2 linked regions of the Solanum lycopersicum genome follow. The main gene of each other region encodes a partner of the protein of the gene in region 2 in a complex. Links are inferred from orthologs where the notes say so. Each region holds a gene or a part of one and is shown on either strand. Other genes may lie near its edges.

Region 1 (3,758 bases), on a different chromosome or scaffold from region 2:
TAGTAAAATAAAAGTGATAAATTGAAAATATTTCTAATGCATTTTATGATATTTCCTTTCTTTTTCCATAGTCAATATCAATTATTTTCGAGGACCACCAATAAATAATAAATAAATTAAAAAGTGTAAAATAATGTGATTAATATAACTGAAAGAAAAAATAGAAAAAAAAAAGAGAGATATATATGCCAAATTTTACGTGGCTCCTTTTAATAAATTCACCGTCCAAAAACCACCACGTGTCACATCAAAATTATCTTCTTTACTTTCTTCCAAAAATAATTTATATTTTACGTTTCGTGTACCTAAATGTAACCATAAAAAAAAAAAAAAAAAGGGACAAAATACTTCGTTTTCCATTTTCACCGGCACCTTATTCTTTATGCCACGTGTCCAATGACGAATAGTAAATTTTTTTAAAATAATAATGCCTAATTGAAGAAGAGATGACAATTAAATGAAAATATTATTATACTTTTATTTAGTCAATTAACACTATTGGAAAGTAACGTCGATAACAATAATAATATATTCAGTATTATATTATTGAGTTTTTTTTAAAAAAAATTTAGACTTTTATATCAAAGATATATGATGATTGATTAAAAAACAATAACAAATGGTTATTAAATATTATTATAATTAAATTATATAAATAAAATATAATAGAAGAGAAAAAAATAAGAGTAATATTAAGCCCCGGACAAAACAAGACAACAAGTCCATACACTCCCGAGTCTCATCTATTAACCTTTTAACATAGTTAATATCTTACACGCTTTACTATTTAGGTATACGTCTTTGATAAATTGTAATATTATCGTGTTTTGTTTAATTACTTCATAAATTACTATTTTTTCCGCCTAAGTACTCTACTTTTTTTGAATTCGTTCATAATCTAGACCTTTCATATCTCCATATCGATGCATTCGTGTATCTGCTCATCACATACTCCAGCCATCTCGATATTATTTTCCGTATCTTATTTTCCTCCGACTCTATGAAGTTAAAATCAAATCTTTCTGTTAACTTTCTCAATTTATTCGTGAATAATAATTCACGGACGTGAAGTAAGTAACTCTAAAACACCTTATCGCTCCATTACTCTTCCCATACTTGAGCTACATGAACCTTCACGCGTCTCCAAATATCCACCGTCCATTTCACGTGATCAAAAGCAATCTTAACCGTCGCCTCCGCCATCGCTCGTTCTTCGCCACGTGTAGTTACTTACACGTGTCATTAATTTAACGGTCCTATTTATCTTTATATATCTTATTATCTAGAGTTTCTATTTTTTATTTTTACTTGTATACTCTATAAATAATCCACAATTTCAACTCCTCCTTCTCCATTTTTCTCCATCAATTTGGTGAACAAAACAAAAAAAAAAATTAAAAAAATTCATCATTTTTAATCTGCAAAAAAAAAAATTAGTTATAATATTATTATTATTATGGCAATGAGTCTGCCACACCAGATCGGTGCCTTATCAGGAACATCGCTCACGGCGGAAACCGGTGGAGTTTCATGCGAAGTTCCGGCGAAGGGGAGTTCAGCTACATCAGCTATGTGGAGAACACCGATGACGAATTTAAAAGTATCGGTGCAAAAAACAGGAAATGAAATTGACAGGGTGTCGCCGTCGCCGTCGCCGCCGATGAGTCCGATGATGGGAGGAGGAATGCGACCGGATTTATCGGTAGCGTGTCAAGCGTTGATGGAGGCTCAGGTAGAGGAGGTAGTTGAGAGAGAATATAAGGTTAGGAATTCGTCGGAGAAAGAGAAAGGTGTTCCGGTGTTTGTTATGATGCCGTTGGATAGTGTGAAAACGGATCATACTGTGAATAGAAAAAAGGCGATGAATGCGAGTTTACAGGCGTTGAAAAGCGCCGGTGTGGAAGGGATTATGATGGATGTGTGGTGGGGATTGGTGGAGAGAGATGCACCGGGAGAGTATAATTGGGGCGGTTATGCTGAGCTTATGGAAATGGCGAAAAAACATGGACTCAAAGTTCAAGCTGTGATGTCTTTCCATCAATGCGGTGGTAACGTCGGTGATTCCTGCACGTATGTATATTTTCTCCGATGCTATTTTTAATTCGTTTTAACTGCAAATTTGTGATTACCAGATTCAAAATCTAGATCTGTTATAATGAATACCGTCAAATCAAACATGATATAACTCGCATCTCAAAAGCTAATTCGAGATATTTTCACATCGGATGTGGCCTGACTATCATAACATGTCAAATTAGTATTTTATCGTAGTTTAACCTCACAAAAAGCTAACTTAAAAGGGAGAAGCATTGCTCGAAACGAGTGGAGAGATATCATTCCTCGTCGAGGTGGTAAATCTCTTCAACAAATACTTTTAGATAAAAGATTCATAGGATCTGGAAAAGATTAAAGAAGAAAGTTCAAAAAAAGGTTAGTGGATAGTGAGAATATGCTCCTTTATATGTGTGCTAAATGAACTATTTAAAGTAACTATATTTTATCTGGAAAGATAAATGACTTTATAATAGATTGGAATCAACCTGAATAGCATAAAATGGAATATGGAAGATTCATGAATAATTCAATTATCTTTGTTTAATTTTCATTCGAGTTCTGTTATGCGTTTTGATTTCTACTAATCGCGATGTATAGGCGTTGCTTAAGTAGATTTTTGAAATTTCAGGATCCCTCTTCCGAGGTGGGTTGTTGAGGAGATGGAGAAGGATCCAGATCTTGCATACACAGATCAGTGGGGAAGGAGGAATTTTGAATATGTATCGCTTGGTTGCGATACACTTCCAGTTCTTAAAGGAAGGACTCCTGTTCAATGCTATTCTGATTTCATGAGAGGGTTTAGAGATAGATTTGAGAATCTCTTAGGTGATACCATTGTGGTAAGTGCTATGTTTTTTTCGAATTTTTGATCGAAGAGTAGAAGACTCACTTTTTTAATCCAAATGACGTGTGATATAGGAAATTCAAGTCGGGATGGGTCCAGCTGGTGAGCTCCGTTATCCATCCTATCCCGAAAAAGATGGAATATGGAAGTTCCCTGGAATCGGTGCTTTTCAGTGTTATGATAAGGTATAAAGCAAGTTCTGTTTTCTATGGTGTGTTTTAGTGTTTAACGTCGTCATTATTACTGATGATTTGTTCTGTTAAATGTATTGTATCGCGTTGCAGTACATGATCGGTAGCTTACAGGGTGCAGCGGAAGCATTTGGTAAGCCTGAATGGGGACACACCGGTCCAACCGATGCTGGTGAGTACAACAATTGGCCAGAAGATACAAACTTTTTCAAGAAGGAAGGTGGTGGATGGGATAGTCAATACGGGGAGTTCTTCCTCACTTGGTATTCTCAAATGCTTTTGAACCATGGCGAGAGGATACTGCAATCATCCAAGGCGATATTCGAGGACAAAGGTGTGAAGATTTCAGTTAAGATTGCAGGTATCCACTGGCACTATGGAACAAGGTCCCATGCCCCTGAGTTGACTGCTGGATACTACAACACTCGTAACCGAGATGGTTACCTTCCCATCGCCCAAATGCTTGCCCGCCACGGTGCAGTTTTCAACTTCACATGTGTTGAAATGCGTGACCACGAGCAGCCACAAGATGCACAATGTGCACCTGAGAAGTTGGTTAGGCAGGTGGCGTTAGCAACTCAGGAAGCTCAAGTTCCACTTGCTGGGGAGAATGCATTGCCACGATACGATGATTATGCTCATGAACAGATCCTTCAAGCGTCCTCGTT
Region 2 (3,758 bases):
AGCATTCCAGTTTCCAAAGTTTTTGCTTCTCATTTATTATTGATTTTAGAATCAACTACCCGTGTCCCTATTTGTATAATCAAACTCGCTTATATTTGTCAAATATGGTCTTGGCTCTTGGCCTCCATCAAGAAACTGTCTTCATGCTGCAATTGAAACGTAGGACAACCATACATATTCATGAGAACCACAACTGCAGGTCATTTGCAGGCTGAGTTCACCATATAAAACCATTGATGTACTTTCGTTATATATACACTCATTGTTTCTCTTTGACCTGCTACTATGATTGGTTAAAGATAGTCAGGATACTCTCAGTTCTATCAGATGGTGTGCAAACCAAAATTCTATATGGATTGGAAAATCTAGAGATGTACAAGACACGATTCTCAGTATATCAGTTGTATATACTTCATGAAATAGGAAGGGAAAAATAAATTATTTCAAGCCACAATTGCATAGCTGCACCACATCTGTACTGTATACTTCATGAAATAGAAAGGGAAAAATAGTGTATATTTAACCCACAAAAGCAAGTATAGCCTCACCACATCTGACAGAATTTCCACATCAGATTCCTTTTGTATGCACGATCCCACATACATTTGCTCAGTAATCTGGCAAAGGACACAAGCAATGTACTTCAGAACCAAGCAACAGAAGAGTAGCTTCTTGAGAATAAAACATACCACAGCAGTGGATTAAAATGGTGTTCAGCAAAATTGAAAAGCATAGAATTCCTGGAGCTGTTAACTTTATCTCAAGCAGTTGAATACTAATCATCTGAGTAAAGGAAAGGTTCTACACAGAAAAATCTGAATGTCACACCTTGTTGTAGCGCATACCAAGATCATGGTTGTAATACAGTTCTCCCTTTGAACGATCCAACGCCTTTATGTATTCTTCCAGTGGGAAATTCCCATGCGCCCATTCAGAATCTATCATGTCTTTCTCAGAAAATATGTTGATAATTGGGCTAAATGGTAACCAGGGGGTACCGTTCAGATTTCCTTGTTGCCTGATTGGATCTCCATTACTCAGAACATTCCATCCATTTAATGTTAGTAACTTTGGGGAAAATACTACAAATCCAGAGTTCCCACTGCCCTCACATGACGTTCGCAAGTTGGAGGCAAGTAAATTTTTGTTCCATGTAGCAATGGGAACACGACCTCTATTATACAGAATATCAATATCATCCATAAGATATAGCTGGTGGATAGGAAATGGAAAAGAGGGTCTCTCAAGAACCAGGCTACAAGGGCCTGCGTTCTCATTCATCATCTTCCTGCAGAAACCATAGTAAAATACAGTACACTTATTGAAACATCCCACTACTTCAGTCGGAAATGTACTCTATAGCTTAAAATTGGTATAATTTTTACGTTTCATACTCTGTATCGCCAAAGTCATTGATCTCAATAAGCCCCCCAGTTGAAGAGTCACTGGCCTTTTTCAATGTATCACCAACCATTATTATTCTTGATTTCTCAGCATTCCCCTACAAATAACACTTGCACAAACTAAGAGATTCCTTCATAACAACAAATTTCAATAGAAAATGCGAAAATCTACCAAGATCCAGGTGCGTACAATGACACAGACAAAACAGTTTGTATAAACTTGCAGTGAAGGGCTTAAGTATGACGGTAGAAACGGATAATTGCATATTGTAAAATCACAGCTATTCAAATGTAAGGATTTTAATTGCGAAAACATACTAACCCCTTTCTTAAGAGCATGAACGAACACTTTGCCATCAACAGAAAGAGCGAAGCGAATACCCAGCGGTTTTACAAGTGTAACCATATACTCATTCAAATTCATGTTGAAAGGTGAATCAGAAGATGAAGACATAGCAGAAATCGGCCGATATTGTCGTCGTTTAACTGCCGAGCTAGCTGTAAGCCGTGCATCACTGAAGCACAACTCTACTCCCCAAAATGAGGAGAAAACCACACATTTCTGCAACTTATCTGAAGAAGAAGAGAAGTTAGCATCGTTGAAAACCCTGCAATTCGGAAGTTGTAGTGAACACATTTTCAAAGAACAATGTGATTGATTGTAGAAAGAAGTAGTATAATTTGTGTGCATAAAGATGTGAGTAAGTTCTAGAGACATGGAAGAAGATGATTATATACTGAAGAAAAAGAAGAAGAAGAAATGGCGTTGATTGGAGCTAAGAGTTGAGAGGCAGAGGCCATTGCGCACATTACCCGCAAAGACACGTGCCTCTCCTCACCTTCTCTATTTGGGTGCAACCAACTTTCTGTTTCACACTATCTACAAATATCTATCAATTTTAATTCCTCTATTCCATTTACGTCGCACCTTTTTTATTACCATATTCAAATATATCAATGTAAATCTTTATTATGATTTATAATATCAATTTATAAATATATGAAGTTCATTTCAAATAAATTAAATTATTTGACTTTCAAAAAATAGAAAATTAGCCAGAGAATAGTATTATTTGGATTTGTGTTAATAAGTTTAATTAATTTGTTTTTGGTTAGAAATGCATTATCATATTATTCTTACATCTTCGTGAACAAGTGTCCAATCAAACAAATAGCTTGCAATCAATTTACAAGTCATTTTGCAAGCAAATTTCTGCAATTAAGTTAAAAATAGCTGGGCATAATATGGTTTAAACCAAAAAAATTGATCGAATCAATTTTTTTAATTTCTGTTTTGATTTTTTAGTTATTTTGATTGTTTTGGTTTTGAATTTTAATATTTCAATTTTTCTGTTTGATTTTTGGTTTTTTAAATTTAATATTTCAATTAACCAAAAACCGAAATTATATGTGTATATTTGTTATTTGTTACCCTCCCAGCCAGCCCAATAGCCCAACTTAAAATATTCTCAGCCCAACTGTCCATGCCCAACTTTCCTAATCCAATTATCCAAATTTGTATCCCTAAAATTCCATTTAAAGGGAAAATTATATAGAATGACAAACATTCCTAAGTAATTATATAATAGGTGTATAGTTTAATTTATTTACTTTTTATAATTATAATTTTTTTTTTTGCTATAATTAATGGGGTTCACCATCTATTATATAACCAATAGTATAAAAACTTTTTTTTTTAATTTTGTATATAATTTTACATAAAACAATATTATCTCTCCTATTCATATTCCACCTTTTTCTCCTACAACTAATACTTCTATCCGATTTGAATTTCAAATTGTCCAAAATTCAATTACTCCCTCCCGAAGTTGAATTCAATTTTCGTAGGTACTCCTAAATTTTAGTCGTTTTCCTTTTTTTTCCTTATTCAACAATTGTATATGTATTGTGTTTCTTATGTTTTTTCATATTTTTTGATGAAATAATCGATTGTTTGTTCTTATTAGATCTCAAATTAGTCACAGAATGAATGAATCATCTTCATCTATGAGGATTATTAGAGGTATTTCATTGCATGTCAATTTTGTTGATAATTTATCATCGTTTTCAATGGGTTAAACTCAAGATTTTGGGGTTGATGTAGGGCCTATGATAAAATCAAAACAAGTTCTACATGAACAAACAATGGAAGAATTGAGATCAAAGAAAAAATATGACCTTACGGCAGTTCAAGAAGTTATTAACAATGCTAAAGCTAGAGGCATTAAAATTGTACAAGGAGGAAGAAAGAGGAAAGCAGTAAACATTGATTCATAGGAAAATGCACGTGAAGTTGACGGATCTGAAGAACATCATAATTATGAGGTAGTGGCTTAAAACACAAATTTAGATACA

The links. The genes of interacting proteins can lie anywhere in the genome.
Region 1: the proteins of phosphoglucan phosphatase LSF1, chloroplastic (region 2) and BAM1 are in contact, whole or in part, in a cryo-EM structure (PDB 8J5D), measured with the Arabidopsis thaliana proteins. The link is inferred for Solanum lycopersicum from reciprocal best matches to the Arabidopsis thaliana genes LSF1 and BAM1. Residues at the interface, in NP_566139.1 of Arabidopsis thaliana: Met72, Asn73, Leu74, Glu76, Tyr77, Met78, Val79, Arg112, Ile113, Met115, Lys122, Leu131, Arg157, Phe266, Pro267, Glu270, Tyr271, Ala274, Leu275, Arg277, Ser278, Gly280; in NP_189034.1 of Arabidopsis thaliana: Glu208, Asp212, Thr235, Leu236, Pro237, Val238, Lys240, Gly241, Arg242, Thr243, Gln246, Asp250, Arg253, Tyr306, Ser309, Ser310, Lys312, Ala313, Glu316, Thr317, Tyr318, Trp362, Gln365, Met366, Asp369.

The regions. Positions count from the first base shown.
Region 1 is NC_090808.1:67,856,280-67,860,037, forward strand, and holds the start of BAM1 (beta-amylase), read left to right. Parts: upstream 1-1,383; 5' UTR 1,384-1,456; coding exon 1,457-2,070; intron 2,071-2,683; coding exon 2,684-2,894; intron 2,895-2,973; coding exon 2,974-3,084; intron 3,085-3,183; coding exon 3,184-3,758. UniProt on the Arabidopsis thaliana protein: Beta-amylase activity. Can use p-nitrophenyl maltopentaoside (PNPG5) as substrate only in reduced form. Can play a minor role in the starch degradation and maltose metabolism in chloroplasts during the night. More active on phosphorylated glucan.
Region 2 is NC_090811.1:31,879,028-31,882,785, reverse strand, and holds the start of phosphoglucan phosphatase LSF1, chloroplastic, read right to left. Parts: upstream 2,277-3,758; 5' UTR 2,122-2,276; coding exon 1,726-2,121; intron 1,502-1,725; coding exon 1,386-1,501; intron 1,289-1,385; coding exon 829-1,288; intron 618-828; coding exon 549-617; intron 1-548. UniProt on the Arabidopsis thaliana protein: Starch granule-associated phosphoglucan phosphatase involved in the control of starch accumulation. Participates in the regulation of the initial steps of starch degradation at the granule surface.